3 linked regions of the Arabidopsis thaliana genome follow. The protein of the gene in region 3 interacts with the protein of the main gene of each other region in a biochemical or structural test. Each region holds a gene or a part of one and is shown on either strand. Other genes may lie near its edges. The genes, in order: CDL1, CDG1 and BSL1.

Region 1 (9,703 bases), on a different chromosome or scaffold from region 3:
CCATTATGAGTTATGGAGTTCCCGACAAAGATCACAAAACTGCCACGTGTACGATGATGACTGTAATTTCGAGAAACGTAAACGCTTCCACACAAAAAAAATCCGTAGTTTCTTCTACAGAATCAGATCTTTGTATCGTCAATGGCTCCTTCTTTTATGTAAGGATCTATGTTCTTATCCGGAATTTAGAGTCTTTATTGAGTTTGATCGATTTTGGGATTATAAGTTTCGCAAAATTCATGTTTTTTACATTAAGTCTATTCGATTTCAGCTGTATTGGGAATTTAAGTTTTTCTGTGGCTTGATTCTATTGAGACAGTTTTGTAGAAGATCGTCCAGCTCCGCTTGATGCTACTTCTGATCCACCGTCTCTCTTCGACGGAACCACAAGGTTAATCTTCAATGTTGCTTCTTTTATGCTTTTGGTTTTAGCTCTGTTCTGTAGTTTATTGGATTTCCCTTATGTCTTAACCTCTTATTGTTTTGTGTTACCAAAGGTTGTACACAAGCTACGTTTGCCCATTTGCTCAACGAGTTTGGATCACTCGAAACTTCAAGGTTTAACAGCTTCTCCTTTGTACTAGTCTCTCACCTTTAACAATATTTTGGTCGTATTAGGGATATTTGAAGCCGGATTGGTTATCTTGTTGAAGTTTGTTAATTTGACGTCTCACAAACTTTTATCTTTCTTGCATATGTGTACTCTATTTATAAAGTAGTTGGATTCTTTGGTTGGTTTCCGGTGGTTGTAGGGTTTGCAAGAAAAGATTAAACTTGTTCCTTTGGATCTTGGGAATAGGCCTGCTTGGTACAAGGAGAAAGTATATCCAGAGAACAAGGTTTTCTATTTATAACTCACGAGTTCATATGTGACATTCCACTTTTGGTTATGACTTAGTGGAAACTTCTCGTTATCTTTTTCAGGTGCCAGCGCTTGAGCACAATGGAAAAATCATTGGGGAGAGTCTGGATTTGATTAAATATCTTGATAACACTTTTGAAGGGCCTTCTCTTTACCCCGAGGTAACACATCCCTTATACCGAGTATGGTTTCCCTTCATTATTCTCTGATTCCACTATTCATTTCCCTCTCTAGGATCATGCAAAAAGAGAGTTTGGCGACGAGTTGCTCAAGTATACTGATACTTTCGTTAAAACTATGTATGTGTCACTCAAAGGAGACCCCTCTAAAGAAACCGGTGAGACTTTAAACTCTTCAACTGTTTTCAGGGGTGAAAAGGCGACAAAATTATGACCAAAAATTTCATGTTCTTGTTTCAGCACCTGTGTTAGATTATCTGGAAAACGCTCTGTATAAGTTCGATGACGGGCCGTTCTTCCTCGGTCAGTTAAGCTTGGTATAAGCCTCACTAACCTTCTTTGAGATCATACATTTCGCCTTTTGTTTGTCTTAATTCTTATATGGACGGTTTGAATTCTTTGTTTTTTTCAAGGTTGATATCGCCTATATCCCGTTCATTGAAAGGTTCCAAACTGTACTCAATGAATTATTTAAGTGCGACATTACTGCCGAACGTCCCAAACTATCAGCATGGATTGAGGTATATATATATGCAATCTTCATTAAGTCAGAAAAGATTACACTTATCCTCACTAGGGAATGGTACTTAAGCGATCGGTGTTATGTTTGCAGGAAATTAACAAGAGCGATGGCTATGCACAGACGAAAATGGATCCTAAGGAGATTGTGGAGGTTTTCAAGAAAAAATTCATGGTAAGTCATACAACTAGGATATAATTTTTTTAACTGAACTACCACATGATTTTAATGGATCCAAATGTGAGTTGCTTCATATTTTCTTGGGGGTTAGAACATAAAAGCTATATATGCCTTTAAGCATCTGGTTGTTTAGGTGTGAATGTTCGTTGCTTTGGGTTAGTTTTCTGTTTTGGGAATGAAAACCGAGTCGGTTTAGCATCTGGCTCAGAGACAATCTCATCTTTCTCCAACGAGCGTTTTGCGACTTAGACGTTTTGAAAGCAAAGACCATGCACTAATCATCAGCTAGCCTATTACTATGGCCAAATGACTTGTTTAATACTTTCTCGGTTAATGGTCTATACTAAATGTGAGTCTAATTCCGGTTATATTCTTGCAGTAACTGTAAGCAAGCACGAAGCAGTAAAGTGTATGAGACCAAACCACCTTGTACGAACAGGTGGTCTTTGGATATGAAGAAATAAGATGTGTACTTGAACCTGATGATGCAATAAGATTTGTACTTTAAGCAGCAACAGCTTAATCTGTATTCTAGTGTTGATCAAATTATCAACCATTGACATTGTTAATATATTACTGTATGATAGTAATACTATCAAAATCTCACACATTAAGAACCAGATGATGCAATAAGGATAAGGTGTATAGTTAACTTGCAGCAACAGCTTGATCTATATTTGACTGTTCACCAATAATCAATCCTTGACATTGTAATATGATATCAATACAATCAAAATCTCACACATTAAAGTTTTGAAAACTATAGTACTTTAATATTTATACAATAACTTTGGAATCGAAGCAGACATCCTCAGTACAATAATGAGAAATTGTCACATTTGAAAGCAAGCGCTCAATAAACATTACATTAAACAACATCACCTATAACAACATTATAAACCGGCCTCTATATGAATCTATCTCTTCTTACACATATCTACAAGTAGCTCTTAAGCCATACATTCACACTTAGTCTGAAAATCATCCACCTTTCCTCTCCAAGAAAGACAGCACGGAATGGGTTTAAGCTACATAACTTACACAGCATTGCGGTTCTCGGGATTATTTTCAGACCCTCTTTGATCTAGGTGGAGTCCCTGGAGCGAAAAGGGATCCTTGGACTGGCTGAGCCAGAGGATCAAACTTTTGGGAGGCGAGGTAAGAAAGTGCAGTGACGACGTCAGCAATGAGAGGTCTAAGATTTGGCTGCTCTTGTACGCACATCGCTGCTACAGCGAGTGCTTGGTATAACCCTCGCGGAGGGTATTGACCTTGAAGCATTGGATCAGCCATCTGAGAGAATTTCCTCCTGTCTTTAAACAAAGGCCTTGCCTGACATAGAGAGCATTTCAAAGAATACAATTAGAAGGAAGAATCCGCAGAGAAAACAAAGTTTGTTCCCAATTTGTTTTTTTTTCTTACCCATGCGACTAGATTCTGTTCTCCAGTAGATCTTGAACTGTCTATTGCTTTCCGACCAGTTATAATCTCCAACAGAACAACACCGAAGCTGTAAACGTCTGATTTGAGTGTTAGCTGGCCTGTCATTGCATACTCGGGAGCACAGTATCCGTATGTTCCCATAACCCGAGTGGACACATGAGACTTGTCCCCAACTGGGCCAAGTTTAGCCAACCCGAAGTCGGATAGCTTTGGAAAGTAATCATCATCGAGCAAAATATTTGAGCATTTCAAATCTCGATAGATCACTGGAGGCATGGTTTTGTCATGCAGATACTCCAAACCTTTTGCAGCACCGGCAGCTATTTTCATTCTGGTGTTCCAGTCAAGTGGCTGCTTACCAGGTGAAATGTCTGAAATAAAAAAAGCATCACCCGATTGAAATTTAAAGACTTCTCATAGGCATGTGTGATCTTAGAAGCGCATACCGTGCAAATGATCTTCAAGTGAACCTAGGGGCATGTACTCGTAGACTAGAAGCCTTTGATCTCCATCAGCACAATATCCTATTAAGTTAACAAGATTCGGGTGATGAAGAAGACTCAACATGAGAACCTCGACGAGGAACTCCCTGTTTCCTTGTAAACCATTATGATCAAGTTGCTTGATAGCCGCTGTCTACAAATGAAGATATAATGACAGTGAGCTTTCACTACCAAGAAGATTCAAAAGGTTAAAACCAAGCAAAAAAAAGGGAAGGAACCTGGCTAGTGCTGGCCAAGTATCCTTTGTAAACTCTACCAAATCCTCCTTCTCCTATAAGACATTCTTTTCTGAAGTTTCTAGTGGCAGTAGCTAACTCAGAGAATGTAAACGTTTGTGCCACAATGTGATCAGAGCCTTTACTTTTGGATTCACTCAAGGACGACTTGGCCCTAGATTTCTCTACAAAAAAAGAAAGAAAAGAAAGCGATAAGAAGAAATAATTAATCAACACAAGCTGAGCATAATTGTCTCAAGGTCAATAATCAACAAATTAAAGTTCTAAGAATATAGCAAGATACTTAAGGATCTAGCAAGTCCCATTTAAGAGTTTAATCCACAACTTCCACTGGAGAGCAATAACAACAATTAACAGGAAAGAGACATGCAATAACACATCACTGTCAAAATACTAACACAGGTGTTACAGAGTAGTCAAAAGCTAGTGAAATGGAAGGAAAAAAGCAATCTTTAAACAGAAAGTCAAAAACCCTAATCAGCATTAGCAAACGATGATGGCTCACAGGAATCAGAAAGTTTTAGCAAAGGATAAAAATTTCCATAATTTAGTAAGAGAAGGTTAAACCCAGAATTAAAATTGGACAAAGACTATAAAGAGAAATTACCTGAAGTAGACACAGAACAATCAGAAGACTTCCTGTCGAGTTTGTGGTCACCGTTCCTCCTTGTCTTATTCCTCCCACTCGATTTCCCAGAACACGGGATCCAACCCATTAAGCTTCTCACGATCTTCTTCTTCTTCAAATGATTCTTCGTTTCGATTGTGTTCGATGATCTCAAAAGCGAGAGAGAGAGAGAGAAGCTTAGAGAACTTTGAAATGTAAAAAAAGCACGCCAAGCCAATCGCTGGATTTTTCGATTTTTCTCTTTTGATATAAAATATATTTTTAAAACAATTTAATTTTTGTGATACAAATTAATGTGAATGGGTTTGACTTTGACAAATAAAAATTAATTGTCAAAGAAAAAAAGACAAACAAAAATTATATTTTATCAAAGTAGTATCAACTAACTACCCCCATGGAATTTAAATTTCTTTTCAACACACAAAAAGAGATTATTTGATTGAATAAATTTCTTGTGTTGTAAGTTGTAACAATATTGAAATTGAACTTTAATAAGCAACAATCGTGGTCACCATTATAGTTTCCAATCATTTGGGTATAAGAGATTGATTATTCCTATTTTAAAATGGTGTTTATCAAAGACAGATTTTTTCTAAGAATATATATATTTACGATATAAGCTAAATGATATTGAAAGAGATAATGTTGATACAATACGACACCGTACTATGCACGGCTCCAAAAGCAAGCTTATACCAAAAAATATACAGAGAAGGGGTTATTGTTTTACAAGTTTACAACATCTACAAAGATTTCACTACATCCTGAAACCAAACCCTTCGTCCTAATTTCACAAACCAGACCAGACAACGACAATAATAACAAACAATCAAATGTCGTAGTGTCTTTGTTTCGTGAATAGTAGTAGTATTATCAAAGAATCAGACTTTGAAGGGAAAATGTTAAAACATGTGATAGATATATATATATAAGATAGATATGAGCACATTACTCATGTTTTTGGGCTGAGAAATAGTGGGTTTTGTTGATTTTCCGTTAGCTATCCTCAATGTTTTTTATGTCGTTATCATCAGTTGCAGCGGCTGTTTTACGCACAAATTGGCCTCGCACTCGAGGGCGTTGTTCTGCTAGTTTTTTCCGGCTTTGGTATCGTACCTGAGAAAGCCAAAAAAAAAACATTTTTGCGGTTTGCATTTGCTTTCGCAATTTACAAGAATACTTTTTTTTTCCTTTGTTATAGATTTGACCGAGAATTTACCTTCTTTCGGAAGCACCTCTCTTTTCTCTTCTGACGGAACTTTGTCAAAGCAGCTTCCCTTTGAGAGATCTTATTTTCATCCGCCAAGTTTCCGCTACCACTTCCACTTCCGCTTCCACTACCATCGCCATTTCCATTTTTGCCAGCACCATTATCACTTCCCATATTCATTCCTCCAGCATTCATACCGTTACTGCTTCCATATGGCCCATTACTTCCATGACCACTACCTGATACACTTCCATTCACACTGTAATTCACTGTGTTGTTGTTACCTTCAATCGTTTCGTTGTACACATTTGAGGATCCACATTGTGGCGGTAGCTTCTTCCTCTCAGCGACATGGACAAGGTTATAGGAGGCATGATTATTATGATGATCACAGGGTAAAGGCTGAAACGATGAATGCTTCACTGATGAAGATCCTGCTGAGCTTACTTTTGGAGCTCCTGGTTTTGTGAAAGCGTTGTTCTCAGTCGTGGAACTCATATCAAAGTTATTGCTACCGACATGTGAGCGATGATTATGGGGGAGACTCTCATTCATGTTCGAGTGACAATCATATGCTGCTTCAGTCTTTTTTATAAGATCCTGACTATTATTATCCTGAAGCGAAGTGCTTCCTAAGTTCCCACCAGAAATCTTATTGGCATTTGAGGCTGGATTATACCTGCACAAGTCCAACAGTCGATCTCATAGTTCTTCAATAAGGCATTCAAAAGGTTGTGTACGGAAGAAAAAACAGAGGTTTGATTCTAAGAAAGTACCTTGAGAAAGCTGAGCCCTCTGAACGCCTCAGCACATTCCGATCATCCCTAACTAGTGTCCCATCATCTTTAGTTCCTCTATGCCTCTTTGAACTATGTTCCACGTGCATTAGCTCTTCAGAAATTTTAACAGAAGCTTCATTTGTATCTAAAGTTTTCAAGTGAGTGTTAGGCGCCTCAGGTTCTCTGTTATCTTGAAGGTGGCTAGACATAGCTTTGAAACTCGAGCCTCCATCTTCATGCATTTGTTTACTTGAAGGACTTTCGCTACTGAGGTCCAATGGTCCTTTTCCAACTTTCATTTTCCATTTACTAGAGCTCTTTTCAAACGAATTATCCTGTCTCATAATGCCAGTAGTTTTAGATAGGGGTTCATCTTTTGGCTCCAGGGCCAGATCACAGTTTCTACGAATGCTAATCTCCAAGTCTCTACCCATTGTGACATCTTCTGCAAAATAGATGAAAAACATTCAATATCATGTTTTTGAGTTTCAGTATAAAGAAGAGTATGGAAGAAACTAAGAGATCACAGTTTCCTTTCTTTACCAAATTTATCATCATGTTCTTGAGTCTCCTTCTCAGCAGGTGGTGCAACCAACTGATTACTTGGAAACTCAGGGTTAGAATGTACCACTTGGGCGCAAGTGCTATCAACTCGGTCCCATAGAGATACCGCTCGTGGACTGTCATCAACATCCACAGCTTTTTTCGTCCAAGAGCTCTGAACAAAAAAAGGTATGTCAAAATCAACCTAGGTTTTGGAGATAAACCATGTGCAAAATAAAACTTCAAAATGAACTAGAAATTTTCACCCAGTTTATCACTGAATAGATCTAAGTTAAACATCATTGAGTTCTACAATTGGTTAGTTAAGCGCTTCCACCATTTATAAGCATCTGAGTGCACATGCGAAGTTCGATCATCCGACCCCTATCATTTGTGGTTAAGAAATTTTTAAAAGGATAGCTTCTCGGGTGTATATTTAGATTATCGGTATTGCACATTCGTCTTACCTGAGCGCCACTCCCATCACTACTTCCATCACTAGCATTCAGGCCAATGCTCCCATTTTCATTCTCATCACTGCTTCCTGAATCTTGATCAGATTTTTTAATACTTTTCGATTTCACAGACTTTTGAGTTTGATGCGTTCCGCTCTCACTTCCACTACCACTAGACTGAACAAGAAACAAGGAAAACCATGAGAAACCAAAAAGTAAGATACCAATCATGTGGAAAAAAAAAAAGAAGATACCAATCCACAATTAGACCATGAATTTCTAGTTTACTACTTATCACCAGTTGTACCAACAGGTTTTCAGATTAATCATATATGAGCAAGGACATACACTTTGGCATCTTCTCCAAACATGCTGCCAAAGGATCTTAAGCTCATTTTTTCTTATTGGCTTAACAAGAAAGTCAACAGCTCCTTTCGATAAGCACTTAAAGACCAGCCCCATTGAGTCATGAGATGACATCACTGCAACACAAATCTCACAGGGGAATGTAGTTAAAAGCATCTACTTTCCAACATACGCTAGAGAAGACTCAACAAATCGTGTAACTTCAAAAGAAAGAGCTCAATGTAAAACGACCAAGGAAAAAGAACTCACTGATGACAGGGATGTTCCGACGAGATTTGTGGTTCAAAATCTTGCACAAGAGACCGATACCAGATAAGTAAGGCATGATCACCTCTGTTAGCACAATATCAATATGATTGTTTAGATCTTCTAACACCTTCCAAGCTTGTATCCCATTTGACGCCTCAACAACTGCCATGACAGAGTTAATAATAATCAATCAACAAACAGAACCGAAACGGGTACATATATGCGCTATAGATTAAAGTTGGGCCATAGGCTTCAAAACTGACCTTCATAGCTACAATTGCGAAGAAGTGCAGTAACGATATAACGAGTGCAGTCGTCATTTTCGACAAGCAGAACTCTAATGGTTCTCACATGAAGAAACCTTTCCCAACAGACAGTTGCCGCTGTTTGTTGCGACAATGGAATTTGCAGTCCACCTGAACTCCCATTTCTCACATCCATAGTAATTCCATTAGTTTTCTCTTCTTCACTATGCTTCTCTGTCCGACTCTCAACCCTATCGAATTTCGTCTCTCCGGTCTTTCGATCAGTGATTGGGTAACGTGAACCCTCCCCCTCCTCATTAGCATTCATCACACCAACTCTGCTTCGCTGAATTCAAATGATCAAAATATCAAAACACAGCCATAAACCCTAATTTCGATTATTGCAATAGCTAGAGGAGTTAGAATCGTACAATATCTCAGATTAACAGAAAAAAGAGTTGAAGAACGACGAATTCTCAAAAAACCAACTAATCAAGTAACTTTTTGAAGAATCATCAAAAAATCGAATCTAGACAAATTACATCAAATAAAAATCCAACCATACAAAAGCATCTAAATTCCAAGAGAGTACTGATCTTACAATAATCAAATACTAGAACGAAGAATCGAGCTCCAGAAGTTGCATCAATCACCAGAAAAATGGATCTAGCACAATCAGCTAACGGTTGGGAAATAGAAACAAGGAATTCAAATCGATAAACAGAATTAAGAATCGAAGCTTCTTAGAACTTTAGAAGGAAGATAAACACAGTGAACAATTTTTGAGATTATGAGGTTTTTCTGTCTCCCAGAGAGTGGAAATCGGAGACGACCATAAGCCACCGATTTTTATTTTTCCGGAGATAGATAGATATTAGAAAGATTTGTCTCGGGCCAACAAAAAAAAAAAGGAAATTAAAAAATCGTAATATCTGACATGGACAAAACTAGAGGTCCCGAACGTTCGAGAAGTTCCACGTCAGAGCGGATATTTCCACATCATATATTGGCGAGGATTAGTGACGTGGATGGTATATCAAAAACAGTCGTTCAGGAGGCTAGTGGCAGATTATTAAGATCTTTTTGAACTGACACGTGTAATGGTGGGTAAGGAAAACGTCAAGTGGTAAACTCATCTGGACCGTTGAATAGATTTTGGCGGAAGAGACTAGCGTTTAAAGATTTTATAGATGTAGTTAATATTGGGCTTACCATATGGGCCATTCAAAAAGATTTTAACCCAATAAAAAATATTCAAAAAACTATCGTCGACAGCAGGGTTCGAACCTGCGCGGGCGAAGCCCA
Region 2 (10,477 bases), on a different chromosome or scaffold from region 3:
ATGGAGCAACTCTTCTTCGATTGGAGAGGCTATGGTCGATGGAGCTAAACTCTGCGCGACGGTAGAAGAAATGGGAAGCGAATTCGATGGTGGTTTCGTAGATCAAAGTCTCAGAGTTCGAGATGTTATCCATCGCCATTTTCAAATCAATGGTGAGATATTTTGTTTTTGAATCGACTCTTATATAAGCGGAGGTGTTTACGATGAATCAATGTCGATGTGGTTATTGTGGTTTATAGGAGCTTCAGCGATCCGTGAGCTGCCTCCGGAGCAATTTTGTAGACATGGTTATGTTCTAGGGAAAACAGCAGAAGCTGGATTTGGAAACGAAATGTATAAGATCTTAACATCAGCAGCATTGAGCATAATGTTAAACAGATCCTTGATCATTGGCCAGACCAGGCATATATTGGTTCTTTCTCAATCCTTTTTCTCTATATTAACTGAACTGTTACTATGCTTGTTGTAGTTTGTGTTATTTGTCTTGTTTATATTTCTTTCTTTCTCTGGGTATCCTCAGGGGGAAGTATCCTTTTGGTGATTACATTGCTTACTCAAATGCTACGTTTACAATGAGTGAAGTCAAGCATCTGTGGCGACAAAATGGCTGCGTGAAGAAATACAAAAGGCGGCTTGTTATGAGATTGGATGATTTCGAGAAACCGGCTAAGAGTAATGTTCTATGCAGTAATTGGAAGAAGTGGGAAGAAGCTATTATATGGTCAGTTGAAGAAAAGAAAGTACAGAAGATACAACTTTGAATTCATTTTGTGAAAGTTATAATCATTACTGAGTCGAGCATTTGGTTTTCAGGTTTCAAGGCACGACAGACGCTGTGGCAGCTCAGTTTTTCCTCAAGAATGTGCATCCTGAGATGAGAGCTGCTGCATTTGAGCTATTTGGAGAGCAAGGAAACTCGGCACCACGAGGTAATGTGTTTGGAGAGTTGATGATGAGTCTCATATCTCCCACAAAAGATGTTAAAGAAGCAGTGGACTGGGTTCTACACGAGACTGGGGATCCTGATATTTCAGTGCACATGCGAATGTTGATGAGCAAGTATGTTAAAACGTGCATCTAGGTTTGTTTTTTTAGTTGTTGAGCTTGTTGACTAAGTCTTCCTTTCATGTTTTTCTCCAGATCTGTTAGACCTATGCGTGCAGCGATAAACTGTCTAGGGAAAGCAATTAACAGACTTGGCATACCGAACCCGAGAGTGGTTATAGTGTCTGACACTCCATCTGTAGTGAAAATTATCAAAACAAATATCAGCACCATTGCAGAGGTATCAATGATCTATTAAACTTGCACTTTCTCTAATCTTCCCAATGATTTATTCAATTCCATTGGCGGACTAAGTAAGTTGCAATGGTTTTCAGGTTCTACATTTTGACTATAAGCTTTTCCGAGGTGATATCGCTCAACGTGGCCGCGGTTTACCAATGTTAGATTTCAGAATAAAGGATTGGGGTCCTGCACCGAGGTGGGTTGCATTTGTAGATTTCTTCCTCGCGTGCCGTGCTAAACATGCGGTGATCTCCGGTGCTAACAGGCGAGTTGGGACTACTTATGCTCAGTTGGTTGCTGCATTAGCCGCGGCAAACAGTCTCAGTTAAGATCGTTTTTTAGTTTCCTCAACACTTATTTTTCTTTCCTTCTGATCTGTCTCATTAACAGTACTCCTTGACTGGTTAATTCACAGAGGATGGTTCGAGCAACTCAAGCTTTGCGTTCCTGAGTAGTTTCCAGAGCAATTTGTTAGCAGATGGTCTGAAGAACCAGGTAGGTTGGGGACATGTCTGGAACCGATACGCTGGACCGTTAAGCTGTCCAAAACAGCCAAACCAATGCGCCTTCACGCCGCTTGCACCTCCTGGTTGGTGGGACGGTATATGGCAATCGCCCATCCCACGGGACACTCGTAGGCTTGCAGCTTTCGGCATTGAGCTTTCCGGGTTTGGTACGGTTAACGAAGACCGGTTCCACGCCTATTGTAGCGCCAAGAAAGAGTACGTAAGCACTGTAACAATCATATAATGACTTCTTGAAAAAGATTCTGGACTCTTGGTTATAAATGGACTCACTGGTTTTATTCTTCAAATCTACTTCCCCTTCTTTAATTGAACCGGCCATATCAAACTTTTTGTTCTAAATAACCGGACCCAAACCGAATTAAGCAAACCGAACGCCCAGGCCTACGAGTAACTAGCTGGCCTCTTGGTTCAATATATGGTTTTACTACTCCCTTCTTAAATTGAACCGGCTTTCTTACCAGGTCTAAATAACTAAACCCAAACCGAACTAACTAATTAAACCGAAGTCAAATATATCCAGCTATAAGTAAGAGAAGACTTCTGGTGTTTATTAGAAACAAAGTAAGATTAAGAGAGGAATAAAGCTGGTGTCAGACATTAAAGATGGAACATCATCTCGTGGAATCAAACTTTTCCTAATACAAAAATTGATTCTCGGTTAGTGAAACTTCAATTTACTACCACTTGCAGATTGTTAATTTCATTATTATTATTCTCGTCGTTAGAAATTTGCTACTAACATTGCAAGTAGGTTCAGGTATAGGTGAGAGCTAGTTTAAGATGGACAAAACTAATTATGTAAGTAGTTCTTGTAAAATATGCATTTTAAAGGTAACAATTGCTATTTTGGTGTAAACTTTTGTAATGACTAAAAATAAATAATTGTGATGGAAATAAAATCTGATTACAAAAAGATTTGAGAACGTCATGATTCATTCATAATCATGTACTGTCTACCATACTTTTTATTCTACGTACTACCATACAATCTCCAAATTTTAAGAGTGGTATGGCTCCATGACTCACATCACATGATTTACATTACATATTGTACTAATGTCAGAACCTTAACCGATCGTAAAAACCGATCAACAACGTTAACCATCATTATTGACCGTTATCTGTCGTCATAAAATCTCGGCCAAGGCTTCTTTAAAGTCTTGGCTAAATCAAAAACAACTTTTGAATTTGAACCTCATAGTGGAGCTAGAGAAGAACACAACCAAGAATCAAATGTGTATACGTTCGTATAATTAATACTTGTTAATACTGTTTCCCTCTCCTCTTTCTTTAGTTTTGTTAATTACTAGACTTTTATGCACAAAATGATAAGAATGGAGTCATAAAATCCATAGAAACCATAAAAAAAAAGTTCCGATAATTATCATTATCGTATATTGAATAATGTGAAATAGAAGTTGAATGTGTTTCCAAATTTGGTTCGGAACTGTCTTATGTCTCAGACAGAGAATCTTTGATAAAATCTTTTAACTTACATTGCATGGATATATTGGCCTAAATTTTACCATTATCAGCGTTCCTTTTAATTTTGAGGTTAAACATAGGGAAAAGCATCTTGCCGTTTTCATCGTCTGTTAAAAATTATTGAGTTTTAGACTGGGAATCTTTAATACTTGTAGCTCACGTTACATGAATTTGTTTATCAAAATTTTGTTATTCTCTGCGGTTTTTGCAATACACTTAAAAATTATTTTGCACCAAAACCAACCAACAAAAAAAATTCTTCAATGAATTTCAAAAACGTTGATAATTTTTTTGTCGTTACGTCTATAGTTTTGGGCCTTTTTTGAATGCATAACAAACATAGTTATCATCTAATATATCACTATTAGAATTTAGAAATACTTAACGTGAGGATTATTTTCTAATTTTTGTCTTAAAAATTAGTTTAAATTCAGAATCCAACATTTATCACAATTATAAATTCCAGGGATATAAAGGAGAAACTTACTATAAAACAATTAACATTGTAGATTATTACCCTCAATGGCATAATAAAACAATAAATGATTTTATCTCATAGAAGCAATTGGTGAGTAACGTACCATATATATTGCACCCCCATGCTCTCTTTTGTTGATTACGTGTCTTTCCTTCCTATCAAAACCCCTTCAACCAAATCTTATCTAAATCCCCCAAAATTTTACGAAAACTCTCGATTTTAATCTAAATCTCCTTCCTTATCACCTCACAAATTTCTCGTGTTTTTTTGTAATCAATTTTTGATGGAAAATTATTCCCAAAACTCGAATCTCTGTTGATCGTGTGTTTCTTGGGGTTCGTCTGATTCCTTCAAAGTTTTCATCTTTTTGATAACAAAACCGTTAGTTCTTTGTCCTCGTGTGTGATCATCTCTTGAGCCCTATTGATAAACCATATAGAGAGTGTATGTGTGTGTATATCTTTGTTTATTGAGTGACACCAACAACAAAAAGATTATTTTCCTTGAGATTGATTAAAAGAAAACATGGTTAGTTGCTTGTGTTTTCGTCCCAGTCGGAAAACGAAGCTCAAAGACAAATCTCATAAGAGATCCATACGTAACCAGACATCCTCCTCTTCTGGTTCCTCTCACTTCCCTTTGATCTTTTTATTATTATTTATAGATTAATCTTGAGATTAGTCATCTTTAATACCAGTCATTAGTAGTAAATCATGATAAAATCTCCCTTTTCTTTTAAATAGCTTATTTATTAATGATACATATAGTATTTGTCTTGTGATTAGTTTATACGGATCGTACAAATCCCGGCTTAGGGTTTGTGTTTTATAGTTCAAAGATTTGTGTATTTGGCTGATAAATGTCTTTTTAATCTACTTGTGATCCAATAACATATGTGATATAGTCTCTCATTGTGTTGTTTTGTTCCTCTGTAGCCCAACCAGCTGGAACAGCAAAAGAAGTAGATTCGTCAAGTTCACAAACCGTAGTGCAAGATTCTTCTAGATACAGATGTCAGATTTTCTCATACAGAGAACTCGCCATCGCGACTAACAGCTTCAGGAATGAATCTTTGATCGGAAGAGGTGGATTTGGAACTGTGTATAAAGGAAGGCTAAGCACTGGACAGGTAATCTATTATTAACATTTGGACTAATCAAATCAATAATCTTGTCGTTGTGAAATCTCTAACTGTTTGTCATTGTGCTTTGTTGTTGGTCTTAATTCAAGAACATAGCTGTTAAAATGCTTGATCAGTCTGGTATTCAAGGAGACAAAGAGTTTCTTGTGGAAGTCCTAATGCTCTCGCTCTTGCACCACCGAAACCTAGTGCATTTGTTCGGTTATTGTGCTGAAGGCGATCAAAGACTCGTTGTCTATGAATACATGCCTCTTGGATCTGTAGAAGATCATCTCTACGGTAAAAAAAAAACTACACTCAAACCAAGAAATTTTCAAGAACGAGATTCATTAAAGTTTTTTAAATTCTTGTGTTGTTTTGTCAGATCTTAGCGAGGGTCAAGAGGCTTTAGATTGGAAGACAAGGATGAAGATAGCTCTAGGAGCGGCTAAAGGGTTAGCGTTTCTTCACAACGAAGCACAACCTCCTGTGATATACAGAGATTTGAAAACTTCAAACATATTGTTGGATCATGACTATAAACCTAAGCTCTCAGATTTTGGACTTGCAAAGTTTGGTCCAAGTGATGATATGTCTCATGTCTCTACTAGAGTTATGGGAACTCATGGGTATTGTGCACCAGAGTACGCGAACACCGGGAAGTTGACGCTGAAATCTGATATTTATAGCTTTGGAGTTGTGCTGCTGGAGCTTATCAGTGGACGCAAAGCTCTTATGCCCTCATCCGAATGCGTTGGTAATCAAAGTCGCTATCTTGTGCATTGGGTAATCCTCTCAACCTTATTTTGCTTAAGGATGGATTAGTTTTTTCCTTATGACCATTTATAGGCTTTGCTTCTTTTAGACTATATAACCAGATTATATCTATCTAAATTCCAATTTTGCTTAAGAGAAAAATTGTTTTGATGGTGACCTTTTGGTCGATTTTGCATAATTATACCGTTTACGATTTAGGGTTTAGGGTTTAGATTAATCAATTAACCATTAAACCATATGCTATCAATTTTGATTTTTCGTAAAAATGGTAGTGGTTTTACTATTGACCTTTAACCATATATAGGTTTTGATTTTGGTTATGCTGATGAAAAAGAGTTTCGTGTTATGGCCCTTAATGATGTGTGGATACGTATTAGACTAATGAATGTTCCGATTTTGATGACGACATGTTCATGTGTTTCTTTTTTTTTTTCTTAACAGGCACGACCGTTGTTCTTGAATGGCAGAATAAGGCAGATTGTAGATCCAAGGTTAGCAAGAAAAGGCGGTTTTTCGAATATACTTCTTTATAGAGGTATTGAAGTGGCCTTTCTGTGCCTAGCAGAAGAAGCAAACGCTAGACCATCGATCAGCCAAGTCGTGGAGTGTCTTAAGTATATCATTGATCACACAATTAGGAAGGAAAGGAGAACTAGGCGTAGACTACTAGGAGGAAATAAGGATGGGGCGGGGACATCGAGGTCACCGGATGAGACAATGATGAGGATGTTAGAAGAAGAAGAAGAATACGTAACTAGTGAAGAAGCTATTGAGAGAAGGAGGGTAATCGTGGATGATGCTCGTACTTGGGCCGGTATGAATAGGAGAGGGGCTACGCCACCAACTCCGACTCCATGAAAGTGAAGTAAATTTTTATTAACTTGTTTTTCAAGTTATATTTGGTTAAGTTTGTTTGGTGAGACTATTGTTAGAAACCAAATTTTGTTAAAACATTTAAACATGGCAATTTAGTTAATACTAGATTTATGTTTGTTTTTATATATGTACTAACATCAAATTGATTTCTTACAAATTTCATCTGCTTCAATAACTTCGGTTTATTTAATTCGATTAAGATTTTGTTTCATAACAAAAAAATTAATATTTTGGACGTAAACTTTTTCATTTCATTTTTTTTAATATTTAATTTTATTATATTGAATCAAAAATTACATGGTTATCAATAAACATACACATACAACCAATATTTAGGTAAAACAAAATAATCGAAAAAGTAAAATCGCACGTTGCTTCTTTCGATAGGTAGGACTTATATGCTACCAGAGAAATAATTCTGTTACTTTTTTTATTCGTTTTCATCTTTGATCTTCTTTTTTTTACTATCGCCTTTTTGATGAAACTACAATAAGTTCTTCAAAAATTATTAGTTGCGATCCATCTGTTACATCGCAAATCATACAAATTTTTTTTAGTTGTAGAAAACATGATTGTTTATATAGCGACTTGTTTTCCATATAGATATTCCTTCTTCACAGCCTCCAACACCGGTATCATGACTCCCCAACATCCATATAACGCTGCCACTGGATTCATATGGATCATATTCATATAACGCTTAACATTCTGCAAACTTGAAACTTTAGTCAGATAGCATTATAACATATCTACCATCCTTATTGGAACCAGAAGCGTTCTACAACCACTTTGTGATTTTTACATCGGAATTGTTGTACACGTAAACTTTTTTGTGTTATGAAAAATGTATTTAAAAGTTGAATGAACATATTTATATAGTTAGGCCCACTTGTGTGAATTCAGATTTTCAAGGCTCAAAAGAATATTTTTGTTTTAGAGAAGGTTGAGTCCATCATCATAACCCATATGTTGCCTGTCATCATATTTTTCTTTCGACCTTTTTCTCCTCGAGATTTCAAAAGATAATCACTATTAAGAAACAAAATTTTTGACCGCGGTTACTAAGTGACAAACCAATGAAATAAAGACACGTCAGCTTCTGTCAAAATAAGAAAGATAAACTAAAAAAACGACGGTCACACACAGTTTCTTTCTTTTTGGTTATATTAAAATGTTTTTGTTTGAGAAGACAAAAAAAAAAAAAGTGGGGGAAGAGAACCCACCATTGAAATTGGGGGAAGAAGAGAAGAGAGGCTAACACACAAAAAAAAAAAAACCCTTCTTTTTCGCTGGCTTACTCGTGCCCTTGTCGGCTTACTTCGCCGGAAATCTGAATTATCCTTTTGCCGGAGACTACTTACCCTTCTCTTTCTTCATCTTCGAAACGGGTTTTTAAAGCTCAGCTCTTGGTGACGCCGTCGTGAGAGAGAGAGAGATTGAAGTAGAAGAAGAAGAAATTGAGGTTGAGAGATGTATGTAGTGCCTCCGCCTCAGCGATCTGATTCTGGATCCAATGGTGATTTAAGGGTTTACCAAACTTGGAAAGGCAGCAATGTGAGTTTTTTTTTTCTCTTTTTTGTTCTTCTTTGAGCTATAGATGCTTCATTACTCTTCCTTCCCATTTTTTTAGTTTTTGCTAAGTCTATTAAATGGGACTTTAGATTAGCTGCTATGTTTTCAATTTCAACCTAGTTCAAAATTGGAACTTTATTAAGTCTTTAGGAGAATCTAGCTATTGCGTTTTTGTGAATCCTAGGTTTTGGTGTCGTTTTCATAGGTTGCTTTTGTGGTGAATACCCTTTGGATCGTTTTAAGCTGGACAAGGCATTTTAACTTTATCTAAATATAGCTCAATGATAGATTGAGTTACTTTGGACAGAAAGGTTTTGTAATTTGAGATTACACATATATATATAGTAGATACTTGTGTATAAGGAGGTTTTCAATAACCTTCTCTCTGTGTTGCCTTAAGACATCAGCTAGAGAATCTGAATACTTCTTCAATGATTACTTACTCTGAGTACTGATTAAGACATGTGTTGTGTGATGTACTGAATTCATCGCTGGTGTATTGTTTTCCTGGATGATTCTTGTTTTTGGGGAATACTTTGTTCTCGAAAGTTTCTCTACCGGGCTGTTTATTTTCGCGTTTTATTTTGCAGATATTCTTTCTTCAGGGAAGGTTTGTATTTGGGCCAGATGTTAGATCACTGGCGCTGACCATTTGTCTCATTGCTGTCCCTGTTACAATTTTCTGCATCTTTGTCGCAAGGAAGCTAATTGATGACTTCTCCGATAGCTGGGGAGTCTCAATAGTAGCTGTCGCCGTCGTGTTCACCATTTATGTATGTATAGTTTTTTCTCGCATTGCATAGCAGATGGTCTCTATAATATTCTGTAGCTGATGCTTTTATTTTGTATTCCCTTATGATTCCGTTTCTTTCTTCAGGATTTAATTCTTCTGCTGCTTACATCCGGAAGAGATCCAGGTATTATCCCAAGAAATGCTCATCCTCCAGAGCCTGAAACCCTTGATGGAAACATGGATGCAGGGGCTGGCCAGACTCCGCAGCTGCGATTGCCTCGCATTAAGGAAGTACAGCTTAATGGAATCACATTTAAGGTCAAGTACTGTGACACTTGCATGCTCTATAGGCCGCCTCGCTGCTCGCATTGCTCAATTTGCAACAACTGCGTAGAAAGGTTTGACCATCACTGCCCTTGGGTCGGCCAATGTATTGGGATGGTAAGTCAAAATCCAACTGATCCCGTCTTTAAGCTATCCACATAAACCATAGTTTCCTAAATATCATCTCATATTCTGATGGTTGTTGCAGAGGAACTACCGATTCTTCTTCATGTTCGTCTTCTCCACGACCCTTCTATGTATATATGTGTTTGCCTTCTGCTGGGTCTATATAAGAAAGATTATGGAATCAGAGCACACAACCACTTGGAAGGCAATGCTTAAAACTCCTGCCTCCATTGTTCTAATAATATACACATTCATATCAATGTGGTTTGTTGGTGGCTTAACAGTTTTCCATTTATATCTCATCAGCACGAACCAGGTATGTTGCGACCATCCAATCCCCACCCTCTCTTAAGGAATCACGGTATCTCTGTAACCATTGATTTATCTTTGTTCTTGCAGACTACATACGAGAATTTCCGATACAGATATGATCGGCGAAGCAACCCACATAACAAGGGAGTGGTTAATAACTTCAAAGAAACATTTTTTTCCACAATCCCTCCTTCAAAGAACGACTTTAGAGCTATGGTCCAGCGTGAACCTCCATTACCTCCTAGATCTGTAGCAGGTGGTTTTATGAGTCCAAACATGGGTAAAGCCAATGATGAGATTGAAATGGGAAGGAAGGCTGTTTGGGCAGACATGGGTCCAGCAATGTCAGATCATGGTGACGGTAAACATGGTAACAATGAGCGGTTACATGTTAAGGACGGTGAGTTAGGCGAGCTATCTCCAGACATTAGGGCAACAGTTGATGAACAGAGTGATAGGCCAAGTATGCACCCGAGACGCTCAAGCTGGGGAAGGAAAAGCGGAAGCTGGGACATGTCACCAGAAGTTATGGCCTTAGCAGCCAGAGTAGGAGAACAAAACCAGAACGGCGGAGGTAGCAGCAGCGGAAGCGGTTTAGTGACGGAGAACCGGCCTACATAATTGATTACATGGTTTAGCACCGAAGGAAGAAAGAACATAGCCGAAGTTCGGTATGGTGAATACAGGTTTAGAGAAAATCTGAGGGGAGTTTCTTTTTCTTTTCTTTTTCAAATGTGTATTTTTTTTCTGGGATTATTCAGCTTATAATCAGTCTTGTGGTTTGTGGTTTATGGAGGGAAAGCAGAACTTGCTAATGTTCTTAATGTGGAAAGTGTTTGTGTTGGGCTTTGTTGTGGTAA
Region 3 (11,876 bases):
TTGTCGACAAAGAACATCCACGAATATTCAAACCCTTTGAATACACAGATTTTCTTCACTTCTTTCAGACAGAAGCTGGACGTATAGCTCAATCAGCTCTCCATGCTTTCGCTGCCTTTTGAATCAGAAGTATGTATGAATGTATAACTTCATGTTGTTGTGTTGTAGTTTTAACATTCCAAAAACCAAATCTATGTTTGAAGAAATATAAATCATCTCTCACTAAAGAGTTTTTTAGAAGAAAAGCAAAAAAATAGTACTATACCATTCTCACTCTCTGGTGGTATAGTGGATTATATTACACATGTGCGGCAGAGTATATGAACACTGCAAATTTTGAAACATAAAATCTTACTATACTTGTATAAAGTTGTACCAAAATCCAATATTGGTTGACTTCATGAGTTGCAGGCAGAAACCGGGAATGCAATCAGATTCAGATGTATGCAAGCGAGCTTCTGTCAAAATCTGGTTGTGGCCTGCCTCGTGTTGGAGTCGGCGGTCTCTGGATATTCAGCTCCTGCAAAAGATAAATTGTGTACTTTCAGTGTCTCTGGTTCGTAGCCAAAAAAAGATATAGCTACATAAACTCTCCTAGGACTATCCATATCACATAACTACCAACTAAGATCAAGTTGCTCAGTTTGTGGCTGAAACAAAGACATTATGTGCTTCACTGGTATATGCTAGGAAAATGTCTTTTATTGTTCCAAAACTATTATGTGTTTCCGGTTTAGGCCAAATATTTCTAGGAAAAAGACAAAGACAGACTCTTACACTAAGGTCAGGTTACCCGGTTTGTGGCTGAAACAAGTTTCAAGCTTTTGTTTTGGAGAATGTGTTCTTATGATGTAGTAAAAGAGTTGATGTATGGATTTGAATTAATTTGAAACAGAAGTAGCAAAGTTGTTGTTACCTGCATCCAAGCGTCGTCTCCAGAATGTTCTGGAGAGTTCTCTGGAGATAAGATGGGAGGTGGAAGAGGATGAATTAACTTGGGAACAATCACCAATCCTCTGCCAACCACCAATATAGCTCCTGCATTGTTCGCAGTTCCTGTTTAAGAAAAGTATCACAATGTTTTATTTCTTGATGTTTTTTCCTATCCAAGAATACAATCATAGATACAAGATGAGGTTTTGACGGGTTTTGTTTCGCCTCACCGCAGTAATTTGTGGCGGAGAAAAGCGTAATCAACTGTCCCTGTGCAAATCTTTCGAATCCATCCATCACACATTCATGGGCCCTGATAATTAGCTGTAGTTTATTCCTCTTACAGAATTCTGTGACTCTATCAGGCTGCAGTATCAAGACTACGCCCTCAGTGATTGGCCCCTAAAAACAATATTAATAAAAAACGACAATAAGAGCGAATTAGGGGTGATTTACCCCAAACGTGACAAGGCCAGGTCCTCTGGCGTTTGGTCTTAAACCCTCGATACTATCGTTCTCTGTAGGATCAGACCTGTACTTTAAAAAAATGTCATTAACTCGGGGATATTAGAAATAGTGATTGATATGAAAGCAAGACAGCAAAGGATGGATTACCATAATAAATCCATTAGAACAAGGGATCCAGCATCCATTGTTATGGGTCTTTCAATCTTTTCAATCTGTTCCACTGTACTGATTGACCTCCCAATTCCACCATGCATACATATAATTTTGTTCTCGATTAGTGCAGCAAGAGGAAGATAATTAAAAAGTTGATTAAATCTTGTCCACGCCCAGATGCCATCATTCTCTCCCTGGCAAAAGTACAGAGCAGGCTTAGTCTACGCAGAAAAGCTAGCGACAAACACGATGAATATTTCTGCAGAGAGGGATTTACCATTCTTTCTATGCATTCAAGACGGAAACCAAATAGTGCATTAATGTCAGCAGCCTCGTGGTTTCCACGAATCAAGTGAACATTCTCCGGATATTCAATCTGCAAAGGAATATCTCAGAACCATAAAACCAAAAAGCACATTTTGAATGACACTACTAATATTGGTGATGTGAAATTAGGCACCGTCTTGCCTTCAATGCAAGCAGCAACGTTATAGTCTCCAGGCTGTGTTGTCCCCGGTCAACGTAATCTCCCAAGAATAAATAGTCAATATACCTGAGGCAAACACGTTTAATCGTTCAGTGACTATATTTTTTTAGCAAAACTCCACAAAGTTCAATCGATTTCTTAAACTTACGTGATGTCTCCAGCTGTTGAGGGAAATCCATATTCATCAAATAAACGCATTAAATCGCCAAATTGCCCATGGAGATCGCCAAATACTTTGATAGGAGCCTTTAGCTGAAGAACCGTTTGTTCATGCATAAATATTTGTTCGGCAGCATAACAGAGTTCCCCAACTTCGTAAGAATCCAAGAAAAATTTCCTATTGCCAGGAGGTTTCCAGTTTCGAGGTCTTAACAAAGCAGCAATGACCTGCAAGCAACAACACATTAGTAGAGATATTAACAGGGACAGTGTCCAGGAGGATGAGAAGATTGCAGAAGAATGATACCTTTTTATGCAGGCCTTGCGGAGACTTCTGTCTCGTGAACTTCTTGGTAGGTTGTGGCACATCGCTATTGTTCATGGGAACCATCCGTCGGCTCTCATTCTGAAACTGATCCAAGCTTAGCTGTCTTACCATGCCGCCCAGACTACCAACCGTCTCTTTTGCTACCACAACCTATCAAATGAGATACTTCGGTAATCAAATACGCAAAAGAATAGGTACAACAGTTATTCAAGCATACACTATGTTGGGAAGTATTTCAAACTAAGCAGCCAATATGTCCAACGCATGAGACAAAGAGATAAATGTATAATATTCTTAGGTATTAACATACAGCTCTCGGATGAAGCCTGACATCTCCTTCATTTGCGGTACCATCAGTAGTAGATTCTACAATTGGCGAGCTGGCATCAGAGGTAGAGGGTTCTTCATCCAGAGTACCAGCTCCTAGTTGTGCAGCTCGCCAAACAGAACTAGCTACCTCTGCTTCAGCTGCAGAAGCCTCCGTCAATTTCTCCAACGAATTTTCATCCAAGCTGATATTGTTGAGGAGAAAAGTAAGATAAGTCATGCTCAAACAACTAGACACAGTTAAGCACAAACCAAAAGAGGGTAGGAAATGGGATAGACCTCAGTCCCTCAGACATGGAGAAGCTTGGTTCAGAGCCTGAAGGAGGTCGTGCGGCATAAGAAAACCTGGGAGTAGAACTTTGTTGGGTTCTATCTGATGCTAGCAAAGGAGAACTGATGTCTGACTGGAATGTTGAATTTTCAGCAACTAGAAAATCGTCAAGTAACACATCTGTGCGGAAATAAAATTACGGTAATAGTCATACTCTGAGAATAAGGATAGATAAACTTGAGACATTAATTCAAACTATAAGAGATGTAAGTGTACCACAAAAACTTCCTAAGATTCAACTTGACCTAAATTATGAAACGTGAAACTACAGAACTAAAGTATATGTACTGCAATAAACTAAGGCATCTTGTTGTACAAAAGGAATATTATCAGGCCTACCTCCTCTTAGACCACCATGCACATAGATCCGGATACCAACTGATGCCGCGCCATGGCGACAGCGTCGCATAAGTTCAAAAGACGGATCTTGATCGATTTGTCCCTTACTTCCACGTGCAGAAGTAACTTGCCCATTTCTATCCAACCATACACCGGCAGCAGTATCAAGCACTGCGAGAAAAAAAGATTCCACAACAATTAGAAAGATCAAAATCAAGAGGAGCAAAACCTGCGAGAATTAGCTCACCATCACCATTACCTGCAACAGATGCTTCAGCGTCTATTACACGGCCTCCTCTCAGCACACCACCACTGACATGTAATCTTGCACCTACAAAAACCTGATAAGAAAAACAATTAAGGAACTTATGGCAATGGCTAAAATTAGAGCATGGTTTTGTAAATGAAATCAAATGCCTCATCAATCAAATCATATAGAAGAAAAACAATAGTCAACTCAGTTTCTAAAGCTACAATGTGCAGTCCTCTGGAATACTAGTATAAGTCAACGCTTCAGAAGCTATTTTTCCATATGTTTTGAAATTAGAGCAAGATTTGGTTTACCGCTGCATGTTGATATCTTGGAGAAGGAGCTACACCTGGAGCCAGAGTCCACTCCCACTGACCATTTCTATGCATCAGTAGCCCATAAGCATCTCCCAACGGCTGCAGACACACGAACACATAAGGGAATATGCCAGCATTCATCAAGAAGATTGAAAACATAACATCTTAAAATTCGGATCTCCTTGCAAGATAAGCAAAGCTCTAGAATTCGAGATTTCTGTATTTTATCTAGCCCTATCCTGGAAAAAAAAAGTCTACTAATTTCTGCACAAGAGATTAATGGAGAAAAAGGTATACCGCCCCCAAGGTGTCTCTTCCCCCGCAGAGCAAAAACATGCCATCAGAACGAGCACTGCCAGAAGCATACCTATGCAAACAAATCATAATATGAAAATTCAGTTGAAGAACAACCGTTCTACAGTAACCATTAAAATCAACTTAATCACTAACATTCTAGCACTTGGTCGGTCACCATCTGGGTTCAATCTCTGCCATACATATGGTTTCTGAGCTGTATCCAGTGCCCAAGCGTCAGAAAGAGCTCGTTTCCCTGTTCCATACACAGAAAGACACATTTTTGTTAGGATATCTCTATTCTTTAAGAAAAAAAAACAGAATAGTAAAACAGACATATTCTTACCATCATTTCCGGTGACTGTAACAAGATACCTCTGAGAAACTAAATCCATAACATGGCCATAGCGAGGGCCTGGACCATCCCCTTGAACCACCACCCTGAACACGCATTAAATGAAATAATTTTGACATCAATAAAACAGATAGCTAAGAGAGACTGAACTGGGAAACTTATAAAGAGTCTCTCACCTGTGCCACTTGAACTTATCATTAGTCATGTCAAGAACGTAAAGATCATCAGTAGAATGCCCCGCCGGTCCAATGCCACCCTGTTATTTAGAACAAACATAAGTAAATATCATACATGAACAATGACAATTGACCATAAAACTATCACATTTGCGCTTTGCCAGAAACAATAAACAATCTGAATAATTGATCAAAAGATAACCTGAAAAACGACCATGGTGCCAACTGCAGCTGCGGCGTGAGCAGCCCTAGGAGACGGAGGCTCACCAGCCGGTTTAAGCCTGCACAAATCCGGAAATTCACAATGCAACTCTCCATCAAACCAACGTGGATTTGCAAGAAAACAATAATAAACCAAACAACAAAATCTCAAAAACTAAAAACGAAGTCTTTATTACCTTGTCCACTTCCTAGTGAGAATATCATAAGAATGCACCGTATTGGTAACACCAGCTAACCCTAAAACCAGAACCAGAACAACTCCAGATCAAATCAAACCAAACAAACAAAAAAAAAATCAAATTCTGAAATTCAATAAGGGAAACTTACTGATCCCAGGAACGGAAGAACTCCCTCCCTCAATAGCGGTGGCGCCGCCGAAGAGAATAAGACGAGGACCGTGAGTCTTAGTAGCTGCAACAGCCGTAAGTGTATGAGCGCATCTAGGACCAGGAGCATCGTCTTCATCATCCCAAAAGGTTTCTAGGGTTTTATACTGAGGAGCTGGATGTAGCCAAGGCTTCGAGCCCATTGGAAACCACTTTACGGGTATAAATCGATCCCGCAACAGCCAAAATACTGAACCAGAAGCAGAGAAATGAGAAGACGAAACCTAGAAAGCGAATCAAAGAAGGAAAGACTACGGCACTGGACGAAAGAACTAGGTAGAAAGTTCAGATCGAAGGAGTAAGAAGAATTCACGGCGGAGAACGGTGGCGAGTTACGACGGACGGACTCTGTCTTCTCCACAAAGTAAAAACCTTTCTTTTTTTTTCAGAGACTATTTTTTGTTTTTGAATTAAAAGAGAAGAAAAAATAAAATAAAAATCTTTGCTTCGCCGAGTTTTGGAGGACACAGTTTTCTTCGGATAGAAAAGGCGTTTTCGCTGAGCTGGACTTTTAGTCTTCTTCTTTAGTCAACGGCTTTATATGTATGTGAATTGTCTAGATTACCCTTTGTTATTTTTTTTTATATCTGGTAAATACTGTGTGTAGACAATTCTAAGAAAAGCATTTCTATTTCAACACTTTATTATCGAAACTTTGAAATTTGAATTTTCGTTTAGAGGAACATTCTAATTCTATACACATTTTCAACAAATTTAATAATAATGCATAAGCTGTAGCCTTATTGGTAATTTATCTAAGGGGGTGTTATTAGTTAATGGATTTTAATAGAATTGAAATCCAACACTAATCCACTGTTATTCAACTAATGATTCTAAATCCAGTTTTAAAATCTAGTGTTATTGGAACTCATCTTTGTAAATCATGCTTAATAGATTTTAAAGTTTAGTGTTATTCAATTAAGATTTTAAATATTTCATTAAAATCCAGTGTTATTCAAAACTAAAAATCTTGTAAAATCCTTGTATATTAATTCATTTGAAATGAAACCTCTTTGGAGTTTCATGAGTAAATCATTAGAATCGAAATCCATGACATATTGCAGAGATTTTGAAATTCATACAAACATATTTTTAAAAACAATATAGAAAACAAATCTAAAGTTTAAAGAATTGACTTTAACTCCATAATTGAATAACACCACCTAAATATTCAAATATAATCATTAGCTACTTTATGGAATTGATTTCTTCTTAAATTTACTATAGTTAATCTCCTTAAATCACGAAACAATTAAAATTTGTTTCTTTAAATAGCTGTAAAGTCAACTAACTGAGATTAAAAAAGTCAAACTATTCCTTCTGTTATTACCTTCCTCTCAAAGTCTCAACCTTTGCCTGTAAATAACCACAGAGAGAGAGAGACAAAGCTCACAAAACAGAGGAGAATCTCTAAACAGTTAAAAATAAACAAAAATCAAAAACCTACTGGTCAAATTCAATGCAACTGAGTCTAATACTGAAGCTTATTCACATCCCAAGCCACTCTCATAACTCCAAACCTTGAATTCGCCTCTGTGAAAGTCCTCCCAACATCATCTGATCCATAAGGGATCATCTTTTTGCTCCCATCATATGACTCACTAAGCTCCATTACATCAACTACACATATCTGTCTTGTCTCCAAGCTTAAACCGTTCCATTCACCGTCTGTTCTCAACACTGTTCCCTTCCCGATCTCGTCTCCTCTCTCATCCATAAGCCTCACTTGTTGCCCTTGCTTTATCCCTTCTTCTGATGATGACGATGTTCTCATCAGATTCTCTCCTGTTTTCGGGGTTTCTGTTACAGTTTGATCTTTAATTGGTGTTGATGGTTTCTGCTGCCAAGTGTTTTCATCTCCAGGACTCTCCGGTAGATCCCCTGAGCTGTTATTATCATGAGCTGGCCCCGTTTGCTTGTTTGCTCGAGCTAGTTTCGCTTTTCGGTTATTCAGCCTGATAATAAACTTTCAATGTCAGATAATGAATAGTGATTACGAGATTCTCTTTGCAGCTGACGAAGAGGAACAAATAAAAGCAAGTACCAGTTTTTCAGCTGCGAAGATGTAATAACCTCCGAACCCTGCAAAATCATGTAATCAACGAGCGCATCGTTCGTAATACGTGGTTGGAAATTAAAAAGAGTAGAATTCTTGAACTCACCTTTTGACTTATTTTATCAGCCCATAACTGTCTCGAAGCTGAATTCCGCTGCAAATCAGGTTCTTCAGCAAGCGCCTTCTCAATCATCCCCATTTGATCAGCATTCATAATACTACGCTTCCGTTTCTTCTTCTGCTTCTCAAAGACAAGGAAGGTTTCAGATTTCTCATCCTCCTTCACCTCTCCTGATGCACTGCCTTTAAATCGCTTGCTCATATTCTGAACCAACTCTCCCTCTTCAACCAGACCCTTCCCTCTGTTAGAGCTTGTATCTGAACCACTGGTTTCAAGATTGCTAGCATCTGCATCGCTCTCTTTCAACCTTTCAACTGTGTCTATCTCCTCGTTCACGCCTTGCTTTGTCATCACACCTTCAACTCGGACATCACAATCCTCTGAAGCTTCCTCATTGTTAAGATTCAGAAGCTCTTTTAGCTTACCAGATAAATTCCCGCCCCTACCTTCAATATCCTAGTACAACATAACATTTGAAGGTTAGCAAAAGATCTGTCTTACGTAGAAATTTAACATACGATGGACATGAGTAAAACCTTGTTACACCTACTTGTATCAGTGTAACTAAACAGATAAGCCAGAGAATTGTAAAACCAATGTATAAGAGAGCAAAAAGCTTTTTCACCTTCACCTGTACTTGACTTTCCTCAAACTCGGAATGGATTAACGGCTGTAACTGGTCACAAAACACCCTGCAGAAGACAATATACCGGAAAAAAATAATATCAACGGCTACATAAAATAGTACAGCTCGAGAACTACAAAACTTTAATGTAGTCATAGGTGAAAAGTAGAATGACTGAAGAGGCTTTATGTTACCTCAAAAGCAGAAAATCTTCCTCGTTGAGGGAACTAGGGATCAAGGATTCTGCATGGCGCAACAGAGAACCTACATATACAAATATCCATTAAAACCAAATCAGCAAAACATGTGTATATAAGAAATAATATATGTGTCTCGGGATAGAGATACATACCTAGGTTTCTGCAAACACCAGTGCCTCTCTGTGCCACAGGAGTATATGAAGAGCCTGGTAACATCTTAATCAATATGCTTGAAGGATCTTTTCGCAATCCACTCATAACATTCTGAATGAAACGGTTCCTATCCTGTTCTGCAGATATTAACAGCGAATACACTTAGTAACTAACAAACGAAGGCAAACCAACAATATGATACAGGGAAATGCAGAAGATAGTGGCGGGCAAAAAAATCACCTTGGCACACGTTGGGAACGAAACAGTGAAGATTCGCAATCATTTTAATAAATAAGGATGTTCGTTGATGTGCATATGAAGACATGGTAAGGTTATTTTGTAAACTGAGCTTGAATTGAGGTGTGACTGATTGCCCAGAAGATGAAAATACACTTAGAATCCATCCAGCTGACTTAAACAGATCATAATCAACATTCGCATCATCCTCCCTTGAAGAAAGATCAGAAGAGCACAACATTGACAAGAAATCTCCATGAGAGAGACAAAATACCGCGCTGAGAACCATGCTCTGGAGAAAGATTTAACATCCGTCACACAACAAATTACAGAATTTCAGTAACGCAATTAATTTATAACCATACCGACGACAGCTCATAAATTGTATGAATCATATGTGCCAAAACAATAAATAAAACAAGAGACTTTGGCAGAGGCAGGAATAACTTGATACTTACAAAATGTTCAGTGAAAAAAGATCGAAAATTTGAGTCATCAGTGAGCACGTCAGCCAAGCGCATAGCGTTAAGTAGCACAAAACCCATCGGGTAGTCAGGAGAAGCAGTAGCCATGGAAGCTTTAGAAAGGCCAAGCCTCAATAATTTAAGAACCTATATTACAGATATATCATCACTGAATAGGTCAACACTTAACTTCACATGGATAAACTATCCTGGAGAGAAATGAGGAACAGAAAAGTACAAAATGTCAATTTAACAACATATGCCATTTAGGAAACTGTAGGTTTAGACTCTAGAGCAGAGCTGATTATCACTTAGCCAACACGAGCTTTTTGCAGTGAGGTTTGTTCTATGACTAGTTACAACGTATCAAAACAAATAAGATTGTCAATTTGTATGGAATCTTTATAAATAGAAGCGTCACTCAGTGGTAAACCTTTCGAATCAAGAAGGAAAACGTCCTATCGATTTTAGAGCAGAGACCCTAATTAGGACTAACCTCTGAGGCAACAGTTTTGGCTAAATGCAAGTTTCCTGCATTTGCAACCTCGTCAAGGAATGAGACACTTTCCGCTTCAAACAGATGCTGCAACTGCAGGCACATGAACTTTGGTATGAGTTGCAGATAGTAAATAGAGAAAAAAATTGCTAAATTTCAATAGACTTACAATTGAAAGAACTTTTGCTTTCATTCTAGATGTGGAAGCTATAGTTACGGTTGCTCCAACAAATTCAGGTGTAATAGTTAGTGATAGTATGGATTGAGCTAGCCTAAGAACGCCACCTTTTCCACATAGCTCCTGAGAGAAAATACCAGAAAACATAATTCTGAGATTCGTCCTCCATAAAATCATCAATTAAGCAAAACAAATTATTAACAACTCGTGATTAATGTACAAACACCAAGCAATAGAGAAACCTTGTTTTTAGCGACACGTTCTCTAAAGGGTTTGTGTTGGCATAGAGAATGAAGGAACTGCAAAGCAGCTTCAGCTTGTTGGCAGTGGAAGTTAACCTCCTCTACAGAACTTGCGCCTAACTTTTTTGGGGAGTCAGTTTGTCTATACAGCAACTTCGCTTTCAAAGATATCACAACATTGAGAACAGCTCCAAAAGCACTGTCTATAAACACATCAACCTAGATGAAAAAAAAAAAAGAATCAGATCAAACTAATCCCAAGGCAGCAGAAACCCAGATCCCAAAGCATAAGCGTAATTTTCTTAATATATTTTCCTCACATTGGCATTTCAAACACATTATGATAAGGTCATAGTTTCATACCCTTGGGTGTGCAAGCAAGACGAGAACAAGATCTTGGGAGTTAGGAGAGATAAACCCGTGAAACAGGTGGAGACAAGAAGCCACCAATGTAGCCTCTAGTAACGATTCTTTATTCGAATTACAGCTTTCCTGGAAACAAGCAACGGACATGAATTATACAGCTCTAAAAAGAAACAGGAAGAGACAAAAAAAGGATTCTACAGAAAAGAACCTTTCTGTTACGGCCAAGAGCTATTATCACAAGGATCACCAGATCAATCATCTGTGCTGATAATTTCACATCGTCAAGCAAGACCTATCACAATATGCAAACAAAAAAAAGAATCAAACATTATGTTCCATGGAGGCATAAAGTCCAATTCTTTAAAAGCTCAAAACCACATATGAAGATGGAACAACCTGCTCGAGTTTAGCATTACGAGGTGTTAAGTCACACAACGTCTGCAACAGTCTGATCCCACACAGTATATAACGAGACTTTCCATCTTTATTAGGAGTCATAACCACCGCAATGAGGTGCCGAGGTAACATTTTCACCATCTTCTCAACACTAATCTGAAAGAAACCTAAACATCAGTACTTACTACAAATGAATAGCAAAAAACTGAAAAAGCAAATCAAGTTTAAAAATGCACCTTTTGTGGTAACACTTGCTCAGAGTTAAAGCAAATAGAGAAATCTCCATTATCTTTAAGCAGCTTATGAAATTCCACAGAGTTTCGCCAATGCAAAGCGTTCACAGCTTGTACCATGTGTTTAGGCTGCAACAATCGAACCATGACTGTCACTAATATGCAACAGTGACTGAATCTAGTTTCCGGTGAATGAAGAGCGACTAGAATTTTGTCTCGCCGTGAGTTATAGTGTTAGGTTATGTGACAGAGAAGAAGATACGAAAATCAAAAGCAGTGAAATCTACTTCAGGGTATGGTGGCATAACGGTAAATGAGTAAAAAGAATGAGGTTAATTTCTAAATATATTGACACTGAGCCTCGCTCTTTGTAGTAGAAGGGAAAACTCAGCTATGGCTTATCGGATTATTTGATTCCAGCGACCAATTTCAAACCCTAACATTTTATTTCCAAATGTTGTTGAAACGATGAAGACAATCACGTGAGAGTACACGTGACCTCTTTTCTTTGGGTCTAAATCGTTTAATTAAAGCCCAACATAGCTTTTACTTCTTTTTTTAAAGCCCAAATTGAGTACAGCAAA

What was found.
Region 1: of the proteins of BSL1 (region 3) and CDL1, one has a biochemical effect on the other in vitro, tested with the Arabidopsis thaliana proteins (one study listed by BioGRID).
Region 2: of the proteins of BSL1 (region 3) and CDG1, one has a biochemical effect on the other in vitro, tested with the Arabidopsis thaliana proteins (one study listed by BioGRID).

The regions. Positions count from the first base shown.
Region 1 is NC_003076.8:632,736-642,438, forward strand, and holds CDL1 (Protein kinase superfamily protein), read right to left. Parts: upstream 4,834-9,703; 5' UTR 4,640-4,833; coding exon 4,531-4,639; intron 4,088-4,530; coding exon 3,906-4,087; intron 3,821-3,905; coding exon 3,631-3,820; intron 3,556-3,630; coding exon 3,164-3,555; intron 3,074-3,163; coding exon 2,810-3,073; 3' UTR 2,472-2,809; downstream 1-2,471. Other genes in the region: GSTL3 (Glutathione S-transferase family protein), read left to right, coding at 142-158, 320-391, 498-558, 753-839, 925-1,023, 1,097-1,199, 1,282-1,358, 1,455-1,562 and 2 more; PRR7 (pseudo-response regulator 7), read right to left, coding at 5,548-5,667, 5,771-6,440, 6,538-6,985, 7,084-7,258, 7,551-7,715, 7,887-8,020, 8,154-8,315, 8,417-8,726. UniProt on the Arabidopsis thaliana protein: Serine/threonine-protein kinase involved in the positive regulation of brassinosteroid (BR) signaling and plant growth. Phosphorylates both BSU1 and BSL1 in vitro.
Region 2 is NC_003074.8:9,932,762-9,943,238, reverse strand, and holds CDG1 (Protein kinase superfamily protein), read left to right. Parts: upstream 1-3,933; 5' UTR 3,934-4,302; coding exon 4,303-4,399; intron 4,400-4,712; coding exon 4,713-4,906; intron 4,907-5,007; coding exon 5,008-5,197; intron 5,198-5,282; coding exon 5,283-5,683; intron 5,684-6,115; coding exon 6,116-6,532; 3' UTR 6,533-6,657; downstream 6,658-10,477. Other genes in the region: AT3G26950 (uncharacterized protein), read left to right, coding at 1-152, 240-402, 521-721, 814-1,059, 1,141-1,285, 1,380-1,611, 1,703-2,037; AT3G26935 (DHHC-type zinc finger family protein), read left to right, coding at 8,021-8,104, 8,713-8,895, 9,000-9,296, 9,388-9,621, 9,705-10,238. UniProt on the Arabidopsis thaliana protein: Serine/threonine-protein kinase involved in the positive regulation of brassinosteroid (BR) signaling and plant growth. Mediates BR signal transduction from BRI1 receptor kinase to BSU1 phosphatase.
Region 3 is NC_003075.7:1,359,499-1,371,374, forward strand, and holds BSL1 (BRI1 suppressor 1 (BSU1)-like 1), read right to left. Parts: upstream 6,001-11,876; 5' UTR 5,669-6,000; coding exon 5,467-5,668; intron 5,377-5,466; coding exon 5,316-5,376; intron 5,199-5,315; coding exon 5,120-5,198; intron 4,998-5,119; coding exon 4,918-4,997; intron 4,828-4,917; coding exon 4,733-4,827; intron 4,643-4,732; coding exon 4,543-4,642; intron 4,460-4,542; coding exon 4,390-4,459; intron 4,192-4,389; coding exon 4,090-4,191; intron 3,867-4,089; coding exon 3,785-3,866; intron 3,697-3,784; coding exon 3,526-3,696; intron 3,307-3,525; coding exon 3,135-3,306; intron 3,041-3,134; coding exon 2,839-3,040; intron 2,679-2,838; coding exon 2,508-2,678; intron 2,429-2,507; coding exon 2,190-2,428; intron 2,108-2,189; coding exon 2,023-2,107; intron 1,931-2,022; coding exon 1,832-1,930; intron 1,749-1,831; coding exon 1,549-1,748; intron 1,466-1,548; coding exon 1,390-1,465; intron 1,300-1,389; coding exon 1,164-1,299; intron 1,057-1,163; and 6 more. Other genes in the region: AOP1 (2-oxoglutarate (2OG) and Fe(II)-dependent oxygenase superfamily protein), read left to right, coding at 1-122; AT4G03090 (sequence-specific DNA binding transcription factor ATNDX), read right to left, coding at 6,997-7,480, 7,570-7,607, 7,688-8,158, 8,253-8,394, 8,522-8,591, 8,680-8,817, 8,921-9,209, 9,376-9,528 and 7 more. UniProt on the Arabidopsis thaliana protein: Phosphatase involved in elongation process, probably by acting as a regulator of brassinolide signaling.